4 linked regions of the Caenorhabditis elegans genome follow. The protein of the gene in region 2 interacts with the protein of the main gene of each other region in a pairwise test. Each region holds a gene or a part of one and is shown on either strand. Other genes may lie near its edges.

Region 1 (7,286 bases), on a different chromosome or scaffold from region 2:
CAACAAATAACGAATTAAAAAAATTATGTAATTTGAATAGGTTGGCCAATGGGTCTGTTTCTGAAAAAAAAATCAGTCACCGTCTTGAAGTTCTCAGGTGTCGGCTGTATTCAAAAAACGTGTGTATAGATTTTTTTTTTTTTGAAAATTGTTTTCTAATTACTTATTTCAGCAGACAATTAGTTCAGCAGACACTATTCTACCGAAGTTTTAACTATTTCCAAGTTAGTACTTGCTCACACACGAAACACATTAAATTTGCTCTACCAGCCCGAATTACCAGCCGCATAGTCCTGCTTCTTATATATTAATAGAAAAATGTTAAGCAAAAAGTAACCATGTATTTGAATCAATAAATTGACGGTGGAAATAATAATTCTAAAGGAGTAGTAACGGTTTGTTATCTTACTGCATAATATCTAAAACAGTTTGTAAATTTAAGATAGTAAATAGGTAAACCATGAAGCAAAAAATGCTCGGATGTTTTAAAGGTAAACAATAAATTTGCGCAAGGTACAATATCTTTAACGAATATTTATTTGAAGACGGATATTTGAATTCGAAAAAATAATTCGAAAATTAGTGATTATCATATCTAATAATATAGGTTTTTTGGAAAACTGCTCTCCGTGTAGCGTTGGACACTTTACGTCATGGTTGTCATGCTGTATTTGAGAATTTATTTTTCAACACAACAATCAGAACATGGTTCGCGTATGTACATATTTTATTGTTTTTCAATAAAATGACATGTTATTATAAAAAATACATTATTACGTCGGCAATATGATTCCTAAAAATTTAATTAAACTCCAAATTAGAAAGAGCCGTCATAAGCCTCGGAGATATGATATTTTCCCAGCCAATTAGAGTGAACGTTGATTTTTCGGGATCCACATGAACTGTTGCCACTTTGCCCTTGGAATCCCATATTATGTAGCCGGTCTCGATGAAGTAATTTGTCATGGCCGGAATTCTGAAAAAAAAAACTTAGTTTTTCGTGAACCAATGAGTTGTGAAGAAAACACACCCTTTGAATTTTTCCATGAAAACATTGTTTTCTGTCCACTCAATAGCGGCCACTCCTTGGAGTGCATATCTCAAATCGATATTGTCAGCGTTTTGACAGTGCAAAAACCTCAATCTCTCAAATGTTTCTCCATCCACAAACGAGCTTATTATGGTTTGTATGTTTTGGTTATCCACAATAAGTCTTGAGATGAGAACAATTTCGAATAATCGTTCATGGAAGTAGTCGTATTCGAACCATTCATTTGGGTTCACCGGCAACTTTCCACTTGTAAAATTCTGAAAAGCATGATACTGTGTTATAAATTTGAAAATGAAAAACAAGTCATATTTTATGAAAAACTTCCACATCAAAATTAACTTCGAAATATTCAATCTTGATTAAGCGTGCCGGAAAAGACGATAGCAATAAAGAATTAGCTCAAACGGTAGATACAACACGAAAAATTTCGTTTTTATGTTGAAATTTCTTTTGAGATGGAATACATTGTTATTAGTGATGAAGTTAAATTTGACGTGTCATTTTTGTTTTACTTTATTCATAATTTTTTGAGTTAGAATTTTTCAATTAAATTTCTATGAAATCTGACTTTACTGGTAATTTTCGTTCTCGCAATTCTAGCCCTATCGGAGAAACCGTCCATGGCAACAAGCTGCTTGTTATTCGAAAACATTTTCAAATACTCATGAATTGTCTGAGAAGCATCATCACGAACAATGTACTGGCTTTCTTTGAGAAATTTGAGATCCATTTGAGATATCCGTTCTTCATTTCTATCTTCAGTGGCAATATAGAGAATAGTTTCTAATTTGGCTCTCATAAAAAAGTTTTGGAAAAAATGGACCAGTTGCACAACTATGTCGCGATGGTTTTTGGAATGAGTCCACCACGTATTTTTAAATACATGAGCTTTTTCAGTAACGGGTCCAATGGTTTTTATCGATTCACTTTCATCCCAAAATTTGGTTTTGTAAAATAGCCAGGTGAAACCTTTGATTTTTAGTTGACTTTGATCAGTATAAAAGTTTACTGTGAACTTTTCGGTATTGACATGTTCACGTATTGAGTTATACAGAAGAGGATTGTCCGAAATTTGCAGTCTAAAAATTGCATATTAGTTTGAAGTGTTTTTTTTTCAATTAATAAAAACAGTTGTGAGTGTCAAACATATTTCAATGCACATTTAGTAAAATTATTCACTATTTAAAACTTACAGATCTTCAATTGGCATGAAATTTAAAGTCTTGATCATGACAAGGTGAGGGAGACGCAGCAGCTGGAAACCATCGTTCATTTTGATATTGCCTGAAACAGGATTAGATTTTTAGATGAATTGTGCGAGAAATACGACACGTATGAGAAAGAATGAAAAGAATGTTGATAAAAAACACCTACGGGTAAATGTTGAAGGAAATTTTAAATGTTAGTATTACGTTTTTTTTTTGAGAAAGAGTACTTTAAAGTGGAAACTAATCAGAAGATTTGATTGAAATCCGAACGCTTGAATGTTTCTCCAATTGATAGAATGAAGTTAGTTATAGAGACGCAGAGAGAGAAATATTTTGTGTATATTTACGCGAACGCATATGAAGCGAACACAAGTCATTATATTGTTCGGAATATCAAACACCTAATTTGAATGTCGTTTCATAAAAGAACCGGGTAAAACTAAAATCTAAAAACAGTAGAAGAGTCTACATGTCATTAGCAACCCAGCAACGGTGAGATCTAAATCAATCAATAGGTTATTTATGAACACTATAAAAGGAGAGACAAACCACCCACACCACCGTCTCTTCTCACCTTTGTGCGAGAGAGTTGTCTCTAGCAGGTGAGCCTGTGCAACAGTTTTGGAGCTGACAAAATCTAATGCAGAAAAAATTGTGTGTCCAGTTGTGGGGAAAAACTAAAATTGTTTCAACCCCGTAAACCTCCTTCATGTTCAATCAATAGTGACATAAATCCTTTCGACCATCGTCATAAAGATTGCAGATAGCGAAGTTGAAGATGTACCAACTATACTGGTTGGTAGTTGAGACATGTTGATTCACATCCAGTACCTCTTCCCACCTTTTCATTACCTTCTAGGGTGCCTTCTTCAGCATGTGCGCTTCTCTACTGGAGTTACTTACTTTGATACTTTGAAGTCCGTTTGGATCAAGTTAACAAGCAACTTCGGACAAATTCTCTCCAGTTTTCACGTTCAGTGCGGGCGCTCTATAACCATGGAACCTTTGGAGAAAGGATTCCAAATCTTTTACAACTCTTCCTTGAAGAGCCTCGGGTTGTTAAACGATTTGAAGGCGTCGTCAATGTCTTTTGTCCATCGTTTCTTCGGTTAACCAGTTGCTCTCTTCCAGTTTTTGTTGTGGCAGGGCTCCCATTCAGTACAAATTTTGAGCCATCTGTTAGGATCTCTTCTCAAAACGTGACTCGAGGCCTTTTCATCAAACATTTCACTGCTCTTTTCTGATTTTCTAAGAATTTAGAATACCCTTCCTTACCCAATTAACGAAATTACCCAAAAAATACCCAATTCAAATCAAACACCCCCTTTTCTCGCTTATGACAACAAAAAATGAAATTGAACTCGTAATTCTGTCTCTATAAGTTTTCACAAATATTCTAATAATCTTTCAGATTTAGAAAACTCACAACAAAAACGAGTATGGTGTTTGCGTATGAACGTCACATTTACGACCTAACAAGGGAAGTCTTTGAGGGGGTCCGTAGATTTGGGATTCTCATGCTAAAATTCCTACAGAAGAGTGTTAGTTATGATCTCTCCAAAAAATTTAGCTGCCCCGGTCAAGTTTCAGCAAAGTTATGACGTTTTGAAATTTCAGTTAAAAACACCATTGAAATCCACTGTCTTACCATGCAATCCACGCAAATCTCAGCTTGCGTGACCACCGAAAATGTGACACCCACCACATTGAGTTGAAAAATGTCCTCGGTGGCCGAGTTGGGAGTGCGCGCGTCTGATAAGGTTTAAGCTTTGGTTCGATTCCTTCTATTTTTGAAATATTTTTGTAAGTTGAATAAAGTTGTAAAACAACTCATTCAAACATTTTTGCGCATTTTTAAAGTGATTTTATTCTTATTCGGGAACCTAGAATCATTGTCCGCACTTTTTGGAAATTTTTATTTTTTTCATTTTTGTTCAAAATTTCTTGATCAACTCCAAGCAAAAAAATCAAAAAATTTCATTTTTCTAAACAATTATGAAATTGCTATGTTGTTGTTCAGAAATGTATGAAACGTACATTACACAAGTTTTAACTCTCTATTCGCAAGTAAACCGTCGAAATGATACATCTCACGAACTTTGTGAAAAATATTTAACCAACTTTGAAGTTGCATAACTTCGTTGAGATAAATTATTTTGAAAAATGATCAACTAACAAAATGTTTGTTGAATAACAGTGAACAAAGTTTTAGTTATAAACTTTTTGATACCTTCAGCCACCAAAAAGTTGTGACCGTTTTCCAAAACACAATGTTAATAGAAAAACTAGCCAAATGCCAACCTTGTTTTCTTCTTTGTAGCTGGAGGTATCAAAAAGTTTATAACTAAAACTTTGTTCACTGTTATTCAACAAACATTTTGTTAGTTGATCATTTTTCAAAATAATTTATCTCAACGAAGTTATGCAACTTCAAAGTTGGTTAAATATTTTGCACAAAGTTCGTGAGATGTAGATCATTTCGACGGTTTACTTGCGAATAGAGAGTTAAAACTTGTGTAATGTACGTTTCATACATTTCTGAACAACAACATAGCAATTTCATAATTGTTTAGAAAAATGAAATTTTTTGATTTTTTTGCTTGGAGTTGATCAAGAAATTTTGAACAAAAATGAAAAAAATAAAAATTTCCAAAAAGTGCGGACAATGATTCTAGGTTCCCGAATAAGAATAAAATCACTTTAAAAATGCGCAAAAATGTTTGAATGAGTTGTTTTACAACTTTATTCAACTTACAAAAATATTTCAAAAATAGAAGGAATCGAACCAAAGCTTAAATCTTATCAGACGCGCGCACTCCCAACTCGGCCACCGAGGACATTTTTCAACTCAATGTGGTGGGTGTCACATTTTCGGTGGTCACGCAAGCTGAGATTTGCGTGGATTGCATGGTAAGACAGTGGATTTCAATGGTGTTTTTAACTGAAATTTCAAAACGTCATAACTTTGCTGAAACTTGACCGGGGCAGCTAAATTTTTTGGAGAGATCATAACTAACACTCTTCTGTAGGAATTTTAGCATGAGAACCCCAAATCTACGGACCCCCTCAAAGACTTCCCTTGAAAACGTTTAATTTGACGCGCAAAATGGGCAGCTGCTGTGAATCAAAGGAATGGCGGAGGTTGAAAGACGCGCGATTGTCCAGGAAACATGGCCGAATGGTCTATTGGTATGATTCTCGCTTTGGGTGCGAGAGGTCCCGGGTTCAATCCCCGGTTCGGCCCATTCATTTTGATGAAAATTTTTAACAATTCAACTTATTTATTGAACAACGAAGTCGGACGGATTAATAGGTGACACACATATCCTTGATGCAAATGCTTTTACAGTTGTGACATCCCAATTCCACTTTTGCTGTAGCCAAAGAGACCAGAAGAAATACCATAAGGAAGAGGAAGACGGATCGGACAATAGAAAAGGATTTCATGTTGAAATTTTACAATGATGCTCTAAGACAGACTGATTTCTTATATAGTGCTGAAACGTCACATGACAAATGCGTAGGAGGTTTTAATGGGAATATGTAAATTTCATGGTTTTGACGTTTTTTCCAGAAAATGTTCTGAATCATAAAAAAAATCAACGGGAATCTATGAAGATCAGTGATCAAACTCAAAATCTGTGTGCTCCTGTGATTTTTCTAATCCTCTATACCAATTAGAAGAGCCTTGGGCGTGTACCAGCTCACATGTTCCCTTGATGCGCGACTGGACATCTGTTGTGTGCACATCGGGTCTTCGCTCTTTTTCTCTAGTTCTGTAGTCAGTAACGTTCTCTACAAAGTCTAATTACTAGCCAAGCAGTTTATCGATTCTTGTGCAACGTTTATTCGATTCCTCTGTTCAGAACTCCAACTCTTTTTTGTTTGCATGTTGCTATTTTAGTCCCCTCCACCACTTAGTATATTAATCTTTAGAAAATGCGATAAGCTCAGTTCAGAAATTCAATAAAATATATATTCACATGGTTTCAAATTTTTGTAAAATGTGGTTTGAAGATGGCTCTCTCAATACACATTCCGTTGTGTATTTTTTTTCTGTATACGTGCGTAGTACGTAGTACACATTCAATTTTTTCACGATCGAGTAGCACGTTTATTGTTAACAGTGGTTCTACCGTTTTTATGCTTAGGGATCTGAAAAACTTAATATTAAATTGACGAAATCGACAAAATCGACGAACTGCTTAAAATGATCGGCATTAATTTGCTTCCTTCACTAATTTTGAAGACTACCGTTCTAATTCACTCTTCGATCAGAACCTGGATGAGACTACCAAAAAAAGAGTGCTGCGAATGCGTTCCTATCTATTCGTAGTTTCATTTACAAGGGCACTCGTACCGCTGTGTGCAATGCGCACGTCCTAAAACACCTGTCCTTCGTGCCTATCGATCGTTGGTTAGGTCTCTCATGGTCACTCCATCTTTCGTGTGAGACACGTCGGATGAGAAGACTCCACCCATCTGGTTTCTCTCGTTCTAGCTAATCTGCGGAAAATATTCGTCCGTGCTCGCTTCGGCTCCAGCCTCATTTAATCCACATTGATTTTTCATTCGACGCCTCTCTCCATTGCGAGACTGCAATTTTGTATTTGATAAAAATTTTATTTCCTTGCTCTACTACATCATATTTTCTATGGTTTTCATGATTTTCCCTATTAGCCATTGAGATCCTGTATCATGTTTCAAAATTTGAATAAAAAATTCGATCATTCGACCTTTGTCCTATTTAAAACTTTCCAAAATAAATTGTGACTTTCTTATCAGTTTTCGTCCTCTCTCCACAAAGCTCATCAGTTATTCTGAACAAACGTGAGCTTCTTTCGAACTTTTATGCCCGTTATGTCTTCGTCTCGTTGCATATCTCTTTCTCTCATTTTTTTTTATCTGACCGAGTTCGCAGTAAACAAACACGCCAGCGCGCGCGCGTCTCTGACCCTCACACTAGATGTCCCCGCAATGACGCAACGAGTGGGACACAATGAGACACCCCTGGCGGGACAATCCCC
Region 2 (6,645 bases):
AATTTTCAATGAAAATATGCTGGAAAACATAATGAAATAGGTCATTTTGTAGAATTCCCATGGTCAAAAATTATAAAAAAGCCCACAGCGCAACGAAAATGAAGACAATTATAACGAATGGAAGGTATTGAGCGAGCATATCCGTGTTACGAACGAAGCTTCCTTTTGTCAGTGAATACCACGCCAAATTGATCATATTCCAGTCCTCGCGCTCATCGTAGCGCATTTTGTTGAGAGCCAGAGCCACGTGCGAGTGACAATTATCGCAGATGAGATTGTGCTGGAAATAAATGAAATATTGATCGGAAAAATCGATTAAAAACCGTACAGTTCTAGTTTTATACGTGTCGGAAGCATCTTGAACTGCTCTATCGAAGACTTCCGCGCCACCTTCCACCTTTTCCGGGCCTAATTGCCAGTATCTTGTGGGCCAGCCGAATCCCATGTCGTCTTCCTAAAAATATTCTACTTTTTGGAAGTAATAAATTGAATTTGGGCACAAACCGCCACATAATAGCTCCCAGCAAAGTCTCGAATGATTCCACGGCTATTCGCGATTCCCATGTGGCCGATGAATGGGAAAAACCAACTGAAACAGCATTTTTAGCTGGATTATTGGGATAAAATTAGATATTTCCTACGTCAGGCATGGAATCGGAGTCCAAACAATGCAGTATGGATACCGATTGTTTTCTGGGCAGATGTCACGGTCGGTGAGCGGCATCATTGACCTAGAAATGGAGATAGACACTGGTGAATTGGAAAAAAACGAGCAGATCAGGTGATTAAAACGTTTAAAATGTATGAAACAAAATTTCGTGATAATTTTAAGCCGAAAAATCAAAAAATCGCCTCAAAATTGAAGGAAAACAATCGAAAAACGCAAAATTCTGGAAAAAAATAAATCGAAAATTCAAATGTCCGCAAACACCGCGCGGCGAAACTGCACACAATGCGCAGTATTGTACGCGCAAAAAACTTGGAATAATAAGAAAATTTAATATTTATTCGGCAACTAAAAATAGGAAAATTCTAATTTAATTGGAATTTTTATGAACAAAAAAGCCAAAGCGGAAATTAAACCCTACCGTACTACCCATTCCTAAAGGCGCATAAGTCTTTATCAGGCAAAGATCGAAAGAGATGCTATCAAATTGCGGTATGAATGGACAATATGTGCAAAGTACAAGCCAAGACAAACTGAATAACAATGAAACTGAAAAGGAAACACCAAAGTTGAGATAGGTAAATGTTGAAGATCCCGAAGGTTTTTCATCCAGGCGGGAGCAAAAAGTCTCTTTTTCAAGTTCACTTCTGAATATCTGTTTTTTCCATCTTTTTACATTGAAAAATGAATTTGAATCAATAATGAAATAAAAATAATCTTCATCAATCAATTGGAAGTCATAAACGAAAAGAAATCAGGAAAGTTATTGTTTTTCAATTGTGCGTTGGACCTTCAAAGTGATGTTTCCTCGATTCTTGAAATCTCTTAAACCTCCCTGCAAAAAAATACAAAAAATTACATTTAAAAAATCTAATTCTTACATAATTATAAATATTTATTCCATCGATCGATAAGTTTATGTCACCAGCATAAAGAGCTTCATCTACCGGCGATCCTGGAATAACCGAAAGAACCTTGGCGATGCCATTTGAGATTGTAATATGGCATCCAAAATGTTGACTGGATGTCTGAAAAAATCTGTATAAGTATACTGGATGTGTTCGGGATGTATACCTTGTTAATTACAACAGTAAGAATTTCATGCTCCGGGACCGGCTCCGGTTCCTCGCTTCCTTCGAGAATTTTTGGAATACAAGCCGCCTGAACCGGCGTCGCAGTTTTAATTTGCATAGTTTCGAGCTGTTGGTTGATCCAGGAGCACACGCCGAGCTGGGAGAATTTCTTAGTTGTCATGTTGTCTTCGGAGATTTGAATGGGCTTTGGGGTGTCATCTGATGACTTGAATTCATCGCCTTCTTCTCCATCGGATTTTTCTTTATCTGAAACTTAGTTTTTCCTCGCCCTTGACAGCTTCTTCAATTTCCTCAAAATCTTCATTTTTCACGTTTCCTGAGCTAGGAGGCTCTTCCTGTTCTTCATTCATCTCCAAATCATCATCATTGTCCGGTAGAATTGCGTCTGGCATGATTTTGGCTGTAAATTCATAGAATGTTCGAGTTTTTTTTATTTTTAATTTTTTTGTAAAAATTAATTTTTCGTTTTTTCTCAATTTTTTGTCCGAAAAAAAATAAGAAAAGTTCGAATTTCTGTGTTTTTTAAGGCGATTGAATTTATGCAAGTCAAGTTCAGTCGACATCCCGAAAAATTCTGATCGACGTCGAAACCACTCCAAAAGCTATGTTATAGTTTTATTACAACTGTAATTATTAAAAAGCAAAACGAATTACACATGAAATTATTGAAAAATTAATTAAAACGAGGTATTAAAGAGATGGAAATTCCGTTGGATCCAGCATCCCTCGATTACAAGCTGGACAAACGCTCTTTTCCTTGAACCATTGGGAAGCGCACTGAAAATTTTGAAATTTATTTATGAAAAGGTTTTTGAAATGAATAATCTTACATCGAGATGAAACCGACGTCTACACGAATTGCATTTGATAGTTTTTTCAGTCGAAATAACGTCGTCCAGACAGATAAGGCATCGAGCATCTGATAGCTCGGCGCTAGAGCTTGAAATTGATGAAGAAAAGGAGACTGACGGGATGGATCCTTTTTCGCTGGAGGTTGAAGCTTTGAGCTTCTCTGCGCCATTCAGAAGAGCTTTTTCATATTCTTGCATAAACGAATCCGAGAAGGATGGAAATTCCGGAAGCTTCTTGAGCTGAATTCGAGTAGAATTGTCGTTTGACATCAGAATCTCTTCAATATTCTCATCCAACACTAGCATGAAATTCTGGAATGCTCGATTGAACTTGATCAGCTCGTATTTCGCGGCACGCATCGTAACTTCATCTGCCGATAGTCTGAAAAATACAAATTAAAATTTTAGTTGAATGCCGTAATTAAAAATACCTGGCGACAAGTTCCGCGGCTCGTCGCATTGGATTTTCCTTCAAAATCAAATTCCTCGTCGATTCTAGGCCTTCCAACGTGTTTACCATGATTTCCAATCGATAAACTCTAAAACTTAATATATTCTGGGAAAAATAATATTTTTAAAACCAGTTAACGACAAAATCACACAGAGAAAGCTGCACAATTCAGAAAAGATCCGAAAAATCGATAAATCCAGCGTGGCAAACAAAACGTGGGCCTACCGTACCGCTTCAAGGGACATGGTATAATTCTTGCACGGGTTTCGCAACGATTGAGTAGTTAATTAATTTAAATGGAGGTAAAATTAAGAATTTCGAATTTGTTGAATAATTTATATATTTTTCAATATTATTTCCAAAAAAAAAACAAATAAAATAAGGAAAATTTGAATTTAATTGACATCTTTCTGAACGAAAAAGCCAAAGCGGAAATTAAATCCTACCGTACCCATTTTTAAAGGCGCACAAAGTTTTATCGGGCCAAGATCCCGCCGCGTCTTTGAAATTTCCAGGCACAGAATTAAAAATAAAAGAGGTTTTAAGAGGAAACCACATGTTGAAAAAGGTTTATTTACAATTCCAAAAAAAACACTTTTATAGTAAAAATACAATTACTTGATGCTTGGCTGTGTTAGTTCCTCGTTTCGATACATATTGACGGTTTTTGAACAAGTTTCTCGAATTGAACGTTCCAAATTAAAGGGAATTATGCAAATTTCTGGATTATTCGGAAAAAAGTTTCACTGATGACTGAAAAAGGAGAAGAATAATATTGTTGGATAGTATAAAAAATGACAAAAAGTAGAGTGCCTAGTTTTTGTCTTTGTCATAAACCTTTGATATTTTTTCCAAGTCATAAATTATTTTTTTTCAAGTTTCTTTTTTTTGAAACTTTGTTTCAAATTTGTAGTTTTTACAGGAATAAAAATCTAGAGGCTTCCGATTTCGGATATGGCTATTGACCAAGGGACGAAAAATGTGCTCCGACTATCGATTTCATTTTTGCTCCTATTTTTTGCTTATATGAGTCAAGAATACATACAAGAACCACTTATCGAGGAAAAGCATAAAACCGGTGGGAATATTGATCCTCACGCCGGTTATCATAGGTTTGTCTCTTCTATATGGTCACTTTTTCAAAAGCAAAACTGATTTTAGTTTTGCTATAACTTACTTCTTTTTCACACTTTCTTGCCTATTTGTTGCTCCAATAATTGATAAGATTTCCGCGAAATGGGGAATGGTTCTGAGATTTTCGGCATATATTGCATTTCAATATGGATTTATACATATGAATACTTATTATGTGTACATTACTTCAGCGAGTTTGGGTGTCGGTGGTGCTTGTAAGTATGAATCAGGAGGGCTTCGCAAATGTTCTGAAACTTTCAGTCATATGGGTTGGCCAGGGAAAATATCTGACGGAAAACTGCACAAGTGAAACTATTGAACGAAATATTGCTCTGACTTGGTTCATTTTTAAGTTCTGGTGAGTACTTCCATCAATTCTCTGTACCATTTTGATTTTTCAAGCCTCCTCGGTGGTGGAATATTTCTCTACGTTCTGTTCTACAATCAAAAAATGAACGAATTTCTGGAATCTGGAGATGTATTGTATTTCCAACATCCATCTGTTTCTAATTCTGCCAATTTTCAGTACAAAACATTCGTCTATATCTGTTGTTCCATTTCTCTATTGGCGGCGATTAACACGGCATTTCTGCCACAATCAGTGTATGTTCCGGAGAGAAAGAAGCATGAGACGTTCGCGAAGACATTGAGTGAGTTTATGGTAGGTCGCCTTTATGCCTGCCTGCCTACCACCTAATCTAAATTGAGTGTGAGCACAATGTCACTGACTGAAGATTATTTCATTTTGACTGTTAATGAAAGTTCAGCTGCTCGGCAGTAGGCACATATACAGCCCATCATCGGGCAGGCGTAGGTTGTCAGGGAAGTAGGCAGATTTTTTTTGCTTTTTGCCTGCCTATCTATCTACCTAACAGTATGAGACCTAGTTTTGAAATGTTTTCCAAAATTTTTCGGAGTAGAGAAAATTGCGAAAAAATCACATTAAATGATATCAAGTTACTTGGTGACAATGTCAGCGCTATTCAAAAATCAATCAATGTCGTGACGGATTGGTGCGCAAAATGGAAATTGAACCTTGCTGAAAACAAAACCAATGTTATTCACTTTGGAAAGCGGAATCCAAAAAATGAATATTATGCAAACGGAATGAAAATCACCAAAAAGGACTCAGTGAAAGACCTTGGAATCTTCGTCGACGACAAGCTGAACTTCCAGAAGCACATAAACATCATTTCGAACTTAGCCCTTCTCAAATGCCGGCAGTTACTTCGATCCTTCCGCTCAACAAATGCCAGCCTTTACTTCAAATTGTACAATATCTATGTGCAGCCAATATTAAACTACGGATGTGAAATCTACAACCCGATCTCTAAAAATCTGATTAAACAACTGGAGTCGCCACTGAAGTTTTTCTCGAGAAGAGTCTTCCAACGCTGCAATCTATCATACTCATCATATGAAAACCGTCTAGCTCAGATGAACCAAAAGTCAGTTCAACACCTGCGGATTCTTCAAATATTGAGGACCTATCACAACATCATGTCTGGTGAATACCACTTTCCGAATGCCGCATCAACTGTGAGGAAGGCTCGCTCACCCAGATATCCGTACATGATGTGCCCTTGTGGATCAATCAACGAAAGCTTCCTACTAGTCAATCTTCACCTATGGAACCGTATGGCCAAGTTACTTCCGGGGACAATGAGCCGTCAAATGTTTGCATCACGATTAAATTCTATCCCGTTTAATTATTTTTCCCACCCAACTTGATCCCCTTAACTACTTCTGGTTTACAGGATCATTCAAATTATTCAAGTCTGTTTCTCCCGGTGATTATTCTATACTTTCTGTTTTGTTACGACGATTTGAATAAATATATATATATATGGGATTTTCAGGTTGTTTGAAATTTAAAAAAAACCAGTTCAGAAAAATTTTTACTTAAAAATTAAAAGCCTTCTATAAAAATTTTGGTAAAAAATTTCCAGAAGCCACGTTCAAAATAATGCGTGAATCTCCAATGCTCCTCCTGGTCTCTATCTTCCTCTATACAGGATTTTCCAGATCTTTTTGGATTGGTAAGTTGTGCCTACAAAAGGCTTGTGGCTACAGAAGGCAGGCACATGGGCATGCTGAATTGAAACCTTACAGCAATCTACCCAACCTGCATCAAATTCACCCCCGCACTCGGAGATAACACCGCAAAACTTCTAGCGATGAGTGGAATTGCAACCGGGATTGGTCAAATTGTAGCTGGTGGAATATTCTCAGTACTCGGAAAACGTGTCAGAATACTCGGAAAAGATATGATTGTAGTGATTGCTTGTGTACTTCATTTGATATGTTTTGTACTGATTTATTTGTTCTTCCCATATGATGCACCATTGCATCCTACACAGAATGTTGGGACTTTTGAGCCAAAGTTTGTATTTTTTAGGGAATTTTCAAAATTAAAATTATGATTTTTTTCAGTGCCTATATAGCAAT
Region 3 (6,397 bases), on a different chromosome or scaffold from region 2:
GTTGGTTGATTTTTGTGTGAAACACGCAGTCTAAGGAAATTACGAAATTTAGTTTTGAAGAATTATATAAAAGTTTTGAAACACTGATTTTTTTAAATCTGATTTAAAGGTGGAGTAGCGTCAATGGGGACATTGCTTCAAAACACGCCTATGGTACCACAATGATCGAATATCATGTTTAAAAAACTCAAAAAAATTTTCTAAACTTTATATGATTTTTTGAAAATTGGAAAAATCTCGGTTTTTCCCTAATTCGTATGGCAAGCAAAAACGGCACCTGTCTGTGCACAAAATGTCAAAAATGGGCCCATTCGAAGTGTTATGGAATCCGAAACAAGTGGACACCAAGATTTTAATGCAAAAATTGTGCTTCTGAAAACAATTAAAGCTGGTCGAAAGTGCTTGTAAACTTATCAATATTGTGAAACAGAATTATTTTTGTATGCTTCAAACTTTCCCCAAACTTGTATAGCTTTTCCATCAAGTTTGGAAAAATATTGACTACATTTCAAATGAAAAACTTGTATGTGTCAAGTGCCACGTCTCATTTTTTGGTAACCAGGCAAAAGGAATTTTTGGCGAATTTCCTCTTTTTGTTTTGCAGAAACATGCGTCTACTGGTTTTCTTCCTGAAAATCGCTTTTCTCATCAAATTGGCTATGCCAATTGAGAAAATGTTGTTATTTTATGGAAAAATCGTAAAATTCAACAAAGAAGCTATATCTATAACTGTTACGGATCTAGACTCTTGCGTACAAAACTGTTTCGAGGAATCCACATTTATTCTGGCGTTCTGGAACAGTAGTGGGTACTGTAACTTATTCGGTTTCAGTAGCTTTGATGAGATTCGGGAAATTGAGAGCGACGAGGGAGATGTTGGTCAATATTTAGCTGTGAAGGTAGAGTTTTTTTTTGAATTTTCAAAATTGTTTGAAATTGATTTGTTTTTTTTGAACCAATTACAGGCTGATCTACCAAACAATACTTGCCCAGCTTTCCCATTTGAAACCGATATTAAGCGTCCTGGAAACCAAACATGGAAATCTGGCAATGGCTGGACCACACGGTTATGTAAAGCCGGCTGGACCCTGTTCAGTAGACCCGACTCAATTTTTGTCTGTCTCAAATTTTTCGAACTGAAACTTGGAACGAATCGTACGGTTGCTCTGCAAACTTGTGTAGATAATGGTGCCATTATGACAGGGCTTGCAACCCGTAGCGAAGTTTATTGGTTGACAGGTAGACTTTTTTGTGGAATCAGAAATAATATTTTTCAAATTTTTTTAAAAAGTAATGTTTCAGAATTCATAGTAGCTCCTCTGCAAACCGGACAATGGGATGGAATTTGGCTGAATGGAATGCGAGACTGTAGCTCTAACACCAATAAAACGTGTCAAGTAAGTCAAATTTTGAAAAATTAAAAAAAATTACGTTTTTTTTTTTGCAGAATTTTGTCTGGAGCGACGGCTATACCATTGATACTGAGCTGCTAAAACCGGGGTTTCTTTGGGATCCAGGATATGTTAATAAGTAAGGTTTTAACTCAAATTCTTAACAATTCTCAGTGATTTCAGCCAGCAGGATTGTCTGGCAGTCATAAGCTCTATCAGTGATCTAAAACTGAATATGGTTAACTGTACATCGTACGACGTAGCGATCGGAGTTGCCTGCGGATACCAATTCAAATAATTTTAATTTTTTAAATTAAAAATGAATATCCAGAGTGTTATGCTATAAACAAATTGTTCAGTGTGCTGTATTGCTAAATGATCAGTGAAATTGATAATTCTTCAGTTTTTAAATAGAAATTGTTTTTTTTTTAGAAAAAAATGTACTTTATCAAAAAAAAACTTTACAGTTTCATGTAGTTTTTGAATGTACATATTTACAACTAAGACGTTCTCAATACGAAGATTAAACTTTAAAAATATGTATTTTTTATAAATATACAATTTGAAATCATGAAAAATTAGATTTTTTTCACTTTTTTGTTTAGGACAACTGAGTGCCACAGGGTTCGCATAGGTTTGCATTTAAATAAAATTCTGGAAAAAACACTGAGACGTCACAGCATTGACATTCTGGTGCCATGTGAATGAGAAAATGAGTCAAATTTCAATTCTAACTTTAACTTAAATTTTGATAGAAATTTTTGTTTTTAAGAGAACATCGTATAGTAATAATAATAAAAAAACGTTCAAATTTAAAAACTAGATGAAACAGTGCCGTTTTTTTCCAAATTAAAAAAAAAGTAACTCCCGTAATAAATAAATTGGAAAATTATTTCATGACAAATACTATTTTGCGAAGAAAAATATAAATTTTATTCAAAAATGATTCAGAATAGAAAAATTTGAAAAGTGTCAAAAATAAATGTGGATTCGACAAAAACCCCAGAAATTTCCAGATAAAAATTAATTTAGAAACATAATGGTAATTATAGAAAATTAACAATAATTAAAAGTTATTAGGAATAAAACAAATTATGAAAGAATAAAGTTAAGAGAAGTCAGTGCTAGAGCTGGATGCAGATGCTCCAAAATTGTCAAGAAACTCCCGAGAAAGACCCGATGAAGGAGCAAACCATGAAGAAAACTGGGGCATCAGTGGATTTTGAGCTGGAGTTGGCTCAACAGCTCTGTGAATAAACTGACATTTTGTCCCATATTTGCAGTGTCCAGTTCTAGAGAAATTGTCACAGAGAACTGTCTTATACTTTGGGTGGTTGACTCCACGGTTCTGAAAAATTTAACACTTAAATTAAAACTTCATTGAGCTCAAAGTTTACCTTCTGTTTCAGCTGCAGCTCCTCGACACTGTGAGCAAATTTGCACTGCTCCCCGTATGAGCATGCTCGTGTGAGCTGAAACGTCTTGCAAAGAGCAGTTTTGAATGCATTTTCTTTTCTTTTCAATCGCATCATTTCTTCGTGGAGATCGTCAGGAATTGTGCATGAGTTTACTGTCTTCAAGAATGGTTGAAAATTCTGCGAGAAGCCATTTTCTTTCTGATCAAACAGTCTTGGAGAAGGTGGCTGCTGAGAGAGCCACTGAGCAACATTGTGCAATTTGGTAAAAGTTGGGACGTCAACGGCAAGTGGATTAGACATTTTGAGGGGTTTCTGAAAGTTAAACTGTTTTAGTTAACAAAAATCTCAGAAAAAACTTCTAACTCAATTTTTAATTGATCCTTAATAAGGCAAAATAGCATTCAAAGTAGAGATTTCAATAGACATACAAAATATACAGTGCAACAAAGAAAAGTTTTAGATACCGTTACAAGTCGGGCAAAAATGAAAAATATACAAAAAAAAACAATATTTTAGCGAAAAAATGAGAAAACGACCGCCCAGGATGACAGTTGTTTGCATGAATGACACAATTGTCATCCTGTCATCAGGCAACCTCTTGAACGCTGAAACTTTATCCAATCGATAGCTAGGTTAGGCTCCGCCCATTTACTGGTACATATCGTCTCCTTTTCACAGAGAGTGTGGCCTGTAAATGGGCGGAGCTTGCTATCGATTAGATGCTGTTGCAGCGTTCATTCTTTTTCCGGAAGATAGACTGCCAAATATGTCATTCACACATTTTACTCTCATCATGAGTGGTTGATCCTTTTTTGCTACTTTAATTTTTTAATAACTGTTGTTTTCTAAAATGTTATTTCTATGTTTTGTATTAGACAGAAAATATTATTCAATACACTATGACCACTATGTTTCATATAATACATGTTTGAAGCAGTAATTTTTTTGTTTTTTTTAAATATCTTTCTGAAACTCTGCTAGGATCCAGTTAGACGAAACCATTTTAATCTTTGACTTTCCACTTTTTCACTAATTTTTACTTCTTTTTAATCGTTCTACCAAATTCTTCTCTTGATATCGTTTTTCATTATTTTTTTCCAGAAACTACCCAAAACTTCTACAATGTCTGTTGAAGCAAGCAACCAAGAAAACTCTCTCTCCAGTTTCCTTCTGAAATGTGCTTTCCCAGCTGGAACTACCCCTCCATTGCTTTCTCCACCATCTTCATCAGGATCTTATGAAGAAGCCCAATTCTCACTTTTTGTGAATCAAAATGAAACTGAACAAAAATTGTTTTCTAATCAATCATTGGCCAACCGAGATCCCTGCACAATTCCAGATGAGCTTCACCAAGAAATGAAGAGTTTGAAAAAGAAAGAAGAAGCATTCAAGACATCCCTTTGTGGTTTTCACAGAAGAGGCCAAAAATGTGCTTATGGTGAAAAATGTAAATTTGCTCACAGTGTACATGAGCTCCGCTTCCCACAGACCAAAAGAAACCACCGTAACTATAAAACAGTACTTTGCAATAACTTCTCAACAACTGGGCATTGCAAGTACGGAATCAGGTGTCAGTTCATCCACAGATCTATGAACTCAACTTCTTCAAATCAATCAAATAAAATGGAAAATATTACCATTGACCTGAATGTTCAATCGGACGTTTTTCGTGCATTTGCTCTGGACTCAACAAGTTTATTGCCAAATTGGCATTGCTCAGCTCTTCTTCAATGAATTTTTTAATCCTGTTATCTTATATTAATTTTTAAATTCCCTAATGCTCAATATTTCCTCTATTTTTCCATATTTTTGGCAATTATCGTTTGTCATTTTCTATTATTTTACAAAGTAATAAAATTCTTTTCCTATCTGTGTTCTACCCATCTGTCTCAAAATTTTATAAAGGCTTTGAATCTGAAATATTTTTAAAAAATAAATTTTGACTTTTTTGTTTTCAAATTTGTAATTATACATATATTTGGAACACACAGTGTTTCGAAAATTTTAAAAAATCAATCTAAGTTTAGTTTTTGTATTAAAATGAAAACTATAGTTGGAAATGGTTAAGTAACCTTCAAATCATTAATCATATTAATGAAAAACATAAAACTGGTAAAAATTTTCATCTCAAAAATTATTTTTAGATCTCAAAAACTTCACATTTTGAGAACTAATTTGAAACAATTTGATCGATTTTGAAAAAAACAGGCGCACAAATGTGGTTTTATAAAAAATGGGTACATAATTCCACGTTTGAGTTTTTTTTTTGAAGGATTAGTGCATATTTGAAACAATATACGCACTAAAATTTTTTTTCTACATTATAAGCACCATATTTTGTGCACACTGGAGCAGAATTTTTTTAATATTTACTTATTCAGAATGCATCTGAAACAGTAATTTTTTGGTTGAAGGGTTTAGGGTTAAAATTTAAAAAAAAACAAGCAACAAGTTCTTTGAATTTTGTCTTTTACATTAACAGTGCTGCAAAGCAATTAAAAATTTGAATTATTCAAAAAAGTTTCTACTGTTTCATTATGTTATTTTAAAACTGTAGTTGTATTAATTAGTCTAGCTCACAAAGTAGATCGATTCCACCTTAAAAAGTGCTGAATCATTGAAAATAAGGTCATTGTAATTTTGCAAAACTTTGTTATGTTTACAAATGTGGTTTTAAAGAAACAAAAAATGTATTAATAGTAATAGTACATTTTTGAAACAATATTATAACTGAAAAAGTTAAATTTTTTACATTTTCATTTTCAGCAAAAAAAACGGTTTCCAAATTTGTATGATCAGTCCCAGTTTGACAAAAAATCAATTTTAAAATTCCTAGAAACAGTTTTTTTAAATAAAAAAAGCAAATTTAAACTGTTTTTCTAATTCAATTTAACTATTTTAACGGTGTCTTGGGTCTTGGTGTCTTGGTTCGAGATACTGATTTTTTAATAATTTTTTTTAATGAAATGAGAGAATGGAAACAGTAAAAATTTTTAAATTTGCTATAAATATTTTATTGAACTATTACTTCAAACATCATGAAATTGTCATGAAAACGTTAGAAAAACATTAAAATAGTTATATTAAATTTGAAGCGTTAATTTTTAGAATATGTCGGGTCTTGTAATATATTCTGGACACTTCCTAATTTTTTGTAAATTTGAGCGTCTTTAACTGAAAAATTAAATTTCTAGGAATTTAAAAATTTTTTTTTTTACAGATTTTTTTGGCGACTGTACAAATTTTAATACAGCTTTTCGCTAAAAATGTAAAGAAGTTCTAAAAAAAAAGCACTATTGCTTGAAAAAACTCCAACGTGGAATGATGTATATATTTTCTATAGAACCGCATTAGCAAGCATAACAACATTTTGCAAATTTACAACTACTCAATTTCAAAATGTAGAGTTTTTGAGATCCAAAAATAATTTTTTGAAATATGAAAACTTTTATCAGTTTCATGTTTCTCATTAATTGTTATATAATGACTAATATTCTGATAGTTGTTTAGCGAAAATAGGAGCATAACAGTCCCGTTCATTATGTGTCATCGTTTTTAATGTTAGGAAAATTAAAATTTTCACAGAAG
Region 4 (9,869 bases), on a different chromosome or scaffold from region 2:
GCATCAAAGATTTTCTCAATCCAAATCTCCAGATGTCCGGTACGGGTGCCTTGATGACTGTCCACGTTGGACAGTGCGGAAATCAGCTTGCTCAAGCCTTCTGGAAATCGATGGTCGACGAACATGGAATCAATGAGTAGGGAATAAATTTGAGGCACCGACAATTTCAATTAGGCAAAATTCGATATACCACAGTCCGAAATGTGAAAACTATTGCAATTTTTATATTTCAATACTGAAATGCTGCAATTGTGAATTGTTCTCGTGAATCGACATGATTGAAAACAAAATATGAATTATTTTACTTTTGTTTGAGATGAAACAAACATTTTTGCTAAGTTAAATAATTTAAGACGCAATTTATTCAAGGTCATAATTCAGCCTCATAATTTTGATAAATATAACAATTTTTTTCGTTTTCAGACGTGGACAAACAACTCACGAAGACGATATGAATGATAAGAAAGATCTATTGTTCTACCAGGCTGATGACGATCATTATGTGCCAAGAGCAGTTCTAGTCGATCTAGAACCTCGTGTAATCAACGGAATGATGCAGTCTCCAAACTTTTCGAATCTTTTCAATACGGACAATATATTCATGTCCGATCACGGAGGTGGTGCTGGAAATAATTGGGCAAGTGGATATTGTCAAGGACAGTGAGTTGTATTTCTTTAATTGAAAATCAATGATAAATAATATTTAAGAGAAGTTCAAGAGAAGATAATGGATATCATCATTCGAGAGGCTGAAAATACGAACAATTTGGATGGAATTCTATTTACTCATAGTGTTTCTGGAGGAACTGGATCTGGAACGGGATCTCTCTTGCTCGAAAGGCTTCGCGAAGCATTTCCGAAGAAAGTTATTCAAACTTACAGTGTTTTTGCAAATAGTGACACCAGTACTGACGTTGTTGTTCATCCATATAACTGGGTACTTTCTATGCAAAGACTTATTGAGAATCCTGGTAAGTTAATAAATTAAAAACGAAATGACAATGATTTATCGAAAAATCTATGAAAATTCCGCAACAACGAACGTTTGAAATTACAGTACCCTTAAAAGGCTCACATATATTCGCATTAAGTGAAAAAGACCGGGTACCGTCTCAATTTTTGTATCTGAGTAATAATAAAAAAAAGGAATTTCAAATAAATAGTTTTCAGATCATGTTGTTGTCCTCGATAATGCTGCACTGCACCGTCTTGCGGCTGGAAAATTCAAAACAGATACACCAACATTTGATCATATCAATTCTCTTGTCGCCCGAATCATGAGCACTTCCACTGCTCCATATCGATTCAACTCTGCAATGTGCCCATCAATTCGGTATTTGGATTTGGCTCCGTTTCCACCAATGCACTTTATTCAATCCGGTTTGTTTTTATTCCGAAATATGTTATTTTATCTATTTATTTTGTTTTTTGCAGCTATCTCTCCTGTTGTCGATCCAAATGAGAACTTTACCCGAAAAACTTCAGTCGCTGACGTCACTCGCTTCTTGTTAAAACCAACTTCAATGATGGTTTCAACTGCTTCTCGGGTTCGGCCAAATGACTGCATGCTATCAGCTTACATGTTCCTTCAAGGACAAATTGAGGCACATACAATTATGACTGCTGAGCAAAACGTTGATGTAAGCTCAATACTTTAAAGAATTTCCGGGAAAATTGAAAAATAAATTTACTAAATCAACCATAAAATTCAATTTTTATCAAATTTTGTTTATGTTCATGAAAACTATAAGAAAGCATATAAATATTTTCTAAAAATAAAAATAAGCAACTTTAAAAAATATTTTTCGAGATATCGGAAAAACGAAAAATTTTCGTAAGCTAATTTTGGAGATGTAGATTTTATTCTCAAAACACGAAGGCGGTCACAAATACCGAGATACTGCAAACGAAAAAAATCTTCAAATTACATTGCAAAAATGAGCGCTTATTTTGACGAATCAGCAATTGTGAAGCAAACTTTTTTAAAAAGTATTTTTGACATGAAGTAAAAAATTTTTAGAAACTTGGAAATTTGACAAAAGCGTGGCAATTCAAATAACACATTAGTCAGAAAATCAAAAATGCACCAATAAAATCACTATTTTAAAGACAAAATTAGTGATTAATAATGACTTTTTTTCGTTATTTTTCTATAATCCACCTTAAAGCATCAAATCAATAAAATCAAATTTCAGTTCGCAATCAGAAGGCCTCCATTCTACATGCTTAAACCACTTCGAATGATGCATGCTCCACTCTCTCCATATGTTCGGCCACAATACAAAGTATCTGGACTCTTGCTCAATAACAGCACAAGCGTGGCTCCGTTATTCGAATCGCTTCTCTCCAAATACGACAAACTACGATCAAAGAGAGCCTTCATCGACAAGTTTGAAAAGATTGACAATTTCTCGCTGGATATGATGGACGATGCAATGCACATTGTGCAAGACTTGCTGGACGAGTACAAGGCGGTCGTACAAAAGGACTATCTGACAAGAGGGCTTTAGATTTATTATTATTTATTCTCGCGGGATTCTCATTCACTTCTTAAAACGGATCTCTGTCGATTATCATATGCTGTGTTTATTGTATTATTTATATCATGTGCTCCTCATCATCATCATAATTTTCACATAAATATTGGTACTCTTGTCTCAGTGGTTGTACTATTGAGGTTTATTTAAATTATTTAGTTATGATTATTGCGCGATAGCAATAGAGAGACATATTGAGGTCTGAAAATGAAAGTGTTTCAAGCTGCACATACGGTCAACAAAACCACCGGGTGAAAAATGAAAAAAAGAGGAAATCGACACGATTTGTGTAAAAGTAACGGGGCAGTGTCTGGAGATGAACAAGACTGGAAAAAAAGGAAAATGAAAAAACAAAAAGTTATCGGTGGGGAGAACGAAACAATGGATAGGTCCGTGAGAGCGCGGGAAATAAGGAAGCTAGATTGATTAGAAGAAAAATGACAAGAAGACCACAATCGGCACAAAAAATTTTGGAAAAAAACATTTCATAGAAACACAACAAGTAGTATACCTAAAACAAGAAGAAAAATGGGAAAAGAACAAAAATTCATCAAATTTTGTGATAAAAATGATAGATACTGTGCCTGGTGAGAGAGAGAAAAAAGATGAAGAGCAAAAAACAGGATCAACCTGAAGAAAGAAAGAGAGAAAAAGAGAAAGAGAGAGAGATTATGAAACGTGGAAAATTTGATAATTGTATTTGTAATTGTAACTCTACATTTGTCAAAAGTCAGGCTCAACGGACGAGCGATGTCTGTGAGGTTGGTGGAGGAGATGTTGGAATGAAATGACTTCCCTCCAAATGACGAATAGCTTCAACAATTGTTTGCATTGATTGAGACAGGGTCAGGCTCGGTTGTGTGCTTCTGGAATTGATGGCAACATATTAATTTTTTTAAAAATTCGAAAAGTTTGCTCGAGAACTATTATGCAGACGTAGAAAATCTCCGCCCTCCATAGCTGGGTCTCGTTAGGTATTTGGCGGCAAATCCGTGAATTCAAACGTTTGTCATTAAATAATTGTACCAATTTTCAGGAGTTTTTCGTCGTTTTTCGTCTTTCGTTGTTTTTATTGGAAAAATGGTTGTTTTTATTGGAAAGTTTTTTTAAAATCAATTTGGCATACGTACCCAGAAAGACGCAAAATGTTCAAACATTGGCGAAACTAATAGAAAAAGTTTGAATTACTGGTTTGGCCCCCCAATACCTAACGAGACCCAGCTGTTGGGGGCGGTCCTCGATTTTACAAGGGGGATTTTTCTACGACCTCATAATAGCAATATTGCAACCTACAGTAACCACAACATTTTTTTTGACTGTATAGAGTATATTATAAAAAAGATTTAATTGAAATTTAATAATCAGCATAAAATAAATTTAAAAATTAAATTTATAACGAAGATTTGAATTCAGAAATTGAATTTTGAAAGTAGATCATTCCACATACAGCCTTCTTCTCTCAAAACAGAAAACTGAATTCATAATTTTTCCCCCATAAAATATACAGAACTCACACAAACGCAGAATTATGTCCCTGCAGATGATGTGGCAATGCGACGGGTGTCGAGTTACCGGTAGACATGGCCGAGGTGACCGCTGCCGCCGCTGTTTGGAACAAAATACTCGATTGAGTTGGAACTGCTGTTGAGAAGATTATTGGAGCGGCAGTCAAAGGTGATGGAGTTGACAGAGATGGTGATGATATTTCAACTTAAATGTTTATATATATTTATAGTCAAAAAGTTTTATTTGAATATTCCAGGGCTTCAAAAAATGCTACCATGCATTAGGCCTTAATACTCTAAATTTCCCAAAAGACCAAATTTTCCAAAAAAAAAATTTGGTAATTTACCAAAATATTGCCTGGAAATTTTGAAACATCTCAAACGTTTCATAGTGTTTTGTTTGGACATTCAATCTTTTTGAAACTAATTTTGAATATATCTTTCCAAAAATTACCTGATATTGGTGGTAGTGGTGTAGGACGGATAACAGTTGTCTCTAAACTTGGCAATGTTGGAGGCGGATGGAATATACGTTGAGACGCCAATGATTCAGAAGAAGTTGGACTACCGTTCAGTGTCAAAAGAGACAACGGAGTACTTGTTGTATCTTGAAATGATGGTTTCCTTTCCGGTGATTCTCGTAACGGAGTAGGAAGAGCCGATGAAGCATATGAAGATGGCAATGTGAAACCACCAGAACCATTAGATCTTGGTGTCACTGGTGACGATGCTTGCGATGATGTTGTCGTCATTTGGAGCAGCTCACGGAGCTGAATTACTTGACTCTCCAAAGCCTTACGGGCGGCTCGTTCAGTTTCTAATATTGTTTGGAGATGTGCTATTTGCGCTTGATGGTCAGCGTCGTGGTGATCTTCTGAAACAAAATTTAATTTGAACAGCTTATATTAATTTCAAGTTTGAACTGATTTAGGGTAGGCACGATTCAGTAAGATTTAGACTTCTTCAGGCCATTCTAGGCTGGAATTATTTTGTGGAATTTCAGAATTTCAGATTATCCAGATTTTTGTTGAAACACAGTTTCCATTCATCCTACTCCACTTTTCAAAAATATCAATAAGATATAAACTTACCTTCAAGTTTGAGTTTTTTGGGTTCTCCACCGTCAGGTATATCTTCTCCTTTGTGTCCCAAAAGTTGATGAACCATATCCGCAGTTTGCTGCAGAATAGCCGCCTTCGACAGCTTTTCTCCCTCTTTTCTGGGAAGTAAGGCTCTTAGAGCCAAGAATCCCGCATTGATGCTCTGCATCCGCCGCCGCTCGTTGCAATTGGCAATTTGCCGACGCATTCTGGATCTATACTATATAAAGTTACAGTACTCACCACCTTTCAGTGCTATAAAACTAACCTTCTGTCGGGGTCGAGCGACGTTGGTGAAAGTGGCGCCGGTTGGGATAGTGACCGGTTGGCGAGCATTGGTGCATGCCCAATCGTCGAGGTAGGCAAGACAGAACGCAACGAATTCTGCATTCCAGAAGCCGTCAAATCAAATGCCGAAGCAGCTGACATGATGGATGGTGGTGCCATTCGTGCATTTGTCACGGAATTCCAGTCGGCGATAGTCACGGGCAATGCACCTGTACCCGAACTCATCATCTCCTCGTCCTCTTCAGTTAGATCAAATCTGCAAAAATGTGTTCGTAGATGAGGTTGTTCAAGAAGCGAAATTTATCAAATAATTTGGGGCCAATTAACTTCAACTTTCCAATTAATGCCTTCTCAAGACGCAAGCTTTTTCGTGAATATCTTCATATTTTTCTATTCTACAACTACAGTACAGTACTCCTTTGAGGATAGAGAAAAAACATATTTTTTAAAAATTGGAAATTCACAAAGTCGTTTTAAATTATTATAAATGCATTTTAAAAAAAAATTCCAAAAGTGATAAAACACATTTTAGACCTTAAATTTGAACTTTGCCGACAATGGGTAACATTTGAACTAATATTAAAATAACTCTAGCTTTAGTTGTTCTGATTTTTATATTGATCTTTTCATCTACAATTAGAACCTATCAATTCAATAAATGCCACGATTCCACAAAAAAAAAGAAAGAAAATGGGATAAATTAGCTTCAATTTAACATCTCAATATTTCTGTTCCAAAAATTATGAGAAATTATTAGTACAAATTGCCACATGCAGTTTTAGAATTGAGGAAAAGTTCATCTGCGTCTCTATATTGTGTTTTTCTCTAAAAGCCAGGTGTTCTTGTTGCGTGTCACTGAGAACGAATTGAAAGCCATGGGAAATTATTTGAATTTTATTTATTGAAAAGTTACTGTAGACTTAACACTTCACTTGGAAACTTGATAGGTTTAGAGGGAGCAAAAAAAGTTTATTTTCGAATTATTTTCAGATTTTAATACTTTCATCAAATGAGAGTCTGATCCTGGATATATATATATATATAGTAGGCAGGCACGTCTTCAGACCGCCTGCCTAGTCGCCTAGAAGGCGGGAATTCAACCATATTATGATTATAAGCAAAACTCGGCTTAGACTTATGTCAATACATTACTTTTCGAATGTTTCTTCTTAAAACCATGAGCAAAAAATGTAGTACAAAAATCCTTACCCATCATCAATGATGATTTGATCTTCTTCTGCGCTATCCGAACGAACCATTTTCTACTATTGATCTACCTGAAAAAAATTTTCTTTTTTGATTTTTGAGGTTCTCGAATTGAAATTCTATTTGTTCCTTATTCTCTCTTTTTCCGACAAAAGTTTCCCGAAACCCGTAACTCTTATCACCTTTCCCCCACTATGTTGGCTGACTGGCTGACATGCCATTTTCTTTGTAGAATCAAAGAAGATAGGCTCTTTTCCCAGCTGAAAATCTTTGTGATAAGCAACACTTGGGGGCAAAGATAACAATGATTATACCACGAATTATTTGAAATAAGAAATAAATACTTACTGTTAGTACTACGGAGACTACGAAGGGACGATGGGAGCCGTCTGGATTACCTGAAACTTTACAAAATTGGAATTATTTGCGACAAAAAACCAACAGCTGATGCTTCACGAAAATTCTTGAAGGGGAAAGATCGAAAAAAAAAAGAGTTTGTCAGTGTGTCATATGGCATGTTTTACACAGACACATGAGGGGAAAGAGGAAGCAATCGAGGGTCGAAACACACCGACTTATAATTCAAAATCGGGCAGTTCGTCTATTTCATACGGTAGGTACCAATGTATATGTAAATTAAATGAAAAAGGCGTGAGGAAGAGGGCAGTTTCAGTGTAGCAGATGAAATAGGTTTTAAATGTATAGAAAATAGAAAAACTGAAGGGTTTATAATTGAAAAAATGAGAGGGAAAGAACAGGTGATCCATTTTCAGGTGTTTAATGCAACAACTTTTACTTAAAATGTTTCATGATACTAATTTGAATGATCAGAGTTTGGGAGTAATCGAAACATCAGAACATTGCCAAAATTGGAATTAGAAACCGAAAGTTTCTTGTAATGAAATTATTTTTAACTGACGATGAGCTTATCTCGTGAAGCCGACAGAGTCCATGTTTTAATAACAATCAGTTCTCTATAAATTTGCAGAATCACAAAACGTCTTTCAAAAGTTACAAACGGACTTGCTCAGATTCTCTCTTGATAAAATATGAAGAACCAAGAATAAATCGGTCTTAAAAAAAAAAAAAGAAAGAAAAAAAAAAGAATTTAAGGCTAGATTTCAAGATTTCACCCCAAGAAATGAAATATGAGCTCTTGATGTTTTGATCTTTCTACTTTCTTAAAAAACCGAGAAAAAATGTTGATTAGCGATTTATCGGAGAAACGAGAGAGCGATGAACACACAAACTGATTCTCAAACGGAATGGAGAAGACAAAACAGAAAAAAATATCAACAAAAAATTGGTTCCAACTTCCTTGAGCTTATAGACGATAGCCAATTGCACTTACCATATGTTTTTTACAATGAGGGCTCCCTGGAACCCATTGACAAGTCAACAAAAAGCAGTTGACCAGTTAGTTTAAGAATTCTTGGTAATTACGAAAAGTTAGTTACTTCTCACATAATAATCATAAAACTAAAAAAGAAACAAAAGTTTGATCAGCTGTAGTGTGCAAGTGTACGGGATGATCTAGTTGGTCAAGTTTGGCATTTATGGGAGAACAGCTGGGCACATAGAGCAACACGCAAAGTATCTAAAGTTAGAAAACATTTGGTAGTAGATTTATGAAATACTTAATAGAACATAGGTTAATAGAGTCTAATCGTGAAAATATTGGAGATTTCAGAGGAAGATTTCTCAATTTTTGGAGGCAATTTCCTGCCTAAATTTTTGTGTATAACATACATATAAAGTTCGTCCATAGTTTTGGCAAAACTTCGGAAAAACTTGGTCAAGATTTAGTTGAAACCGCGTTAAAGGTTGGGAACAATTTTTCATAGTCATACTCACTATAGTTCTTATAAGATCACAAAACATCACCAAAATCGGCAAAGAGATCAGTTCAAAGGCGTAGTAAAAGAGAAAGACACTGAACAAAACGACATCGAGAACTATTCGGACGGTAATGATCTGTTATCATTCAAAATAAAGGTTAAGGGATTTTGTTGCGATCTTCCCCATCAACCGATCCAAGAAACATTTTCTGAAGGGATCCTGAGAATTAGAGACAGATGGATGGATGGGGAAAACACCTGATGGCGCGGCCCCCAGTTTTGTTGGTTGGGGTCACAAACAGCTGTGAGTGGAGTGAGAGAGGGAGAGAGTGATTTAAGAAGATTTGGACGCAACGGAGAAACAGACGGAGAAAAGTTTGCAGTTCGCGTCTCGTTTCGTTTCGAGACCTTGTCTAGCGAAGGGGCAAACGTAAACGCTCGTTTCCGATGATACGGTAGGCGCGAGCCAGACAGTGAGTGAGATAAGAGATAAAATAATTTATCGGGGGGAAGACAAAGAAAGCTAAAAGATAAAAAGAAACATAACAACATATGGAATCATAACAAACTTGAGGCAGAAAATCAGAAATCTAGGAAGAACGATATGATGGTCGAGTACAGTAAGATCATAGAGGTAGACCCCCTCTAAAATTGTGGGGACTTACTGTTTTCTACTCCCGCAATTTTTGGAGGTCAAATGGAAAGAGGGTTCACCTGAATACTCGTAATAATGGGTACTATATTAATATTATTAACTTTTTCATAGATTTTTCCAAACAAGAGGAAACTTGTTGATCAAAAAAATGGAACTCTTACCATATGGAATTCAATATGAAACATGTTGCAAATAAATGTCGTCACAGACGCAAGGGTGTGTGTGATTTGACAGAATAGGTCAGGTGTTCAATCGCGACTAGATTTAGATATTGGGGTACACAACCGAAAAAACGAGACGATCGAAATACGTTCGTCGGCGGGACGAGAGATGGGGGAGCCGGGCGCGAAGAGAGACTGCGAGACAAATAGACATATACACAGGCTGACTGACTGGCTGACTGGGCTGGGGGGGGACGACGCTCCGAATCATTTGGGAGAAAAAAGTTTTTCGCGGCGGCGACGACGACGAAGACAGCGGTGGTGGTGGTGGACTGATCGGTTTGCTGCAGCAACACAGGCAACATGGGGTTGAGATGAGAAAGGGAGAAATTGGAAAAAAAAGAGATGGAAAAGAGAAGAAGGAGCTGACGAGAAACACACCACACTCACACACACACACTCACATAAATGTTAAAGGCCAGCAGCAGCGCCTCAATGGTCTTAGGGGTTGAGGGAGCGGGCGCCTCCTTCTCTCTCTCTATTGCTTACTCTCTCATGTTCACTATCTCTCTATATCTC

What was found.
Region 1: the proteins of Y52E8A.2 (region 2) and T14G8.2 interact in a two-hybrid assay, tested with the Caenorhabditis elegans proteins (one large-scale study listed by BioGRID).
Region 3: the proteins of Y52E8A.2 (region 2) and ccch-2 interact in a two-hybrid assay, tested with the Caenorhabditis elegans proteins (one large-scale study listed by BioGRID).
Region 4: the proteins of Y52E8A.2 (region 2) and hlh-11 interact in a two-hybrid assay, tested with the Caenorhabditis elegans proteins (one large-scale study listed by BioGRID).

The regions. Positions count from the first base shown.
Region 1 is NC_003284.9:12,853,057-12,860,342, reverse strand, and holds T14G8.2 (F-box domain-containing protein), read right to left. Parts: upstream 2,343-7,286; 5' UTR 2,325-2,342; coding exon 2,245-2,324; intron 2,131-2,244; coding exon 1,620-2,130; intron 1,309-1,619; coding exon 1,031-1,308; intron 977-1,030; coding exon 802-976; 3' UTR 710-801; downstream 1-709.
Region 2 is NC_003280.10:4,317,342-4,323,986, reverse strand, and holds Y52E8A.2 (RING-type domain-containing protein), read right to left. Parts: upstream 3,152-6,645; 5' UTR 3,133-3,151; coding exon 3,044-3,132; intron 2,995-3,043; coding exon 2,592-2,994; intron 2,539-2,591; coding exon 2,452-2,538; 3' UTR 2,370-2,451; downstream 1-2,369. Other genes in the region: H20J04.6 (Transmembrane protein 222), read right to left, coding at 71-280, 329-454, 505-589, 642-727; Y52E8A.1 (RNA helicase), read right to left, coding at 1,431-1,502, 1,549-1,695, 1,742-1,921; Y52E8A.6 (UNC93-like protein MFSD11), read left to right, coding at 4,018-4,175, 4,225-4,412, 4,459-4,555, 4,600-4,675, 4,724-4,847, 6,147-6,236, 6,310-6,580, 6,631-6,645.
Region 3 is NC_003282.8:16,274,926-16,281,322, reverse strand, and holds ccch-2 (C3H1-type domain-containing protein), read right to left. Parts: upstream 3,122-6,397; 5' UTR 3,110-3,121; coding exon 2,789-3,109; intron 2,740-2,788; coding exon 2,500-2,739; 3' UTR 2,313-2,499; downstream 1-2,312. Other genes in the region: clec-191 (CW domain-containing protein), read left to right, coding at 609-899, 966-1,239, 1,303-1,397, 1,448-1,530, 1,575-1,689; F38C2.7 (C3H1-type domain-containing protein), read left to right, coding at 3,932-4,543.
Region 4 is NC_003281.10:9,619,318-9,629,186, reverse strand, and holds hlh-11 (Helix-loop-helix protein 11), read right to left. Parts: upstream 7,041-9,869; 5' UTR 6,985-7,040; intron 6,920-6,984; exon of another isoform or gene 6,777-6,919; intron 6,708-6,776; 5' UTR 6,690-6,707; coding exon 6,640-6,689; intron 5,687-6,639; coding exon 5,411-5,686; intron 5,363-5,410; coding exon of another isoform or gene 5,358-5,362; coding exon 5,134-5,357; intron 4,917-5,133; coding exon 4,497-4,916; intron 4,248-4,496; coding exon 4,052-4,247; intron 3,863-4,051; exon of another isoform or gene 3,714-3,862; intron 3,404-3,713; coding exon 3,274-3,403; 3' UTR 2,659-3,273; downstream 1-2,658. Other genes in the region: tbg-1 (Tubulin gamma chain), read left to right, coding at 33-136, 424-660, 709-971, 1,171-1,380, 1,435-1,640, 2,196-2,510. UniProt on the Caenorhabditis elegans protein: Transcriptional regulator. Component of a feedback loop involving atfs-1, atgl-1 and hlh-11.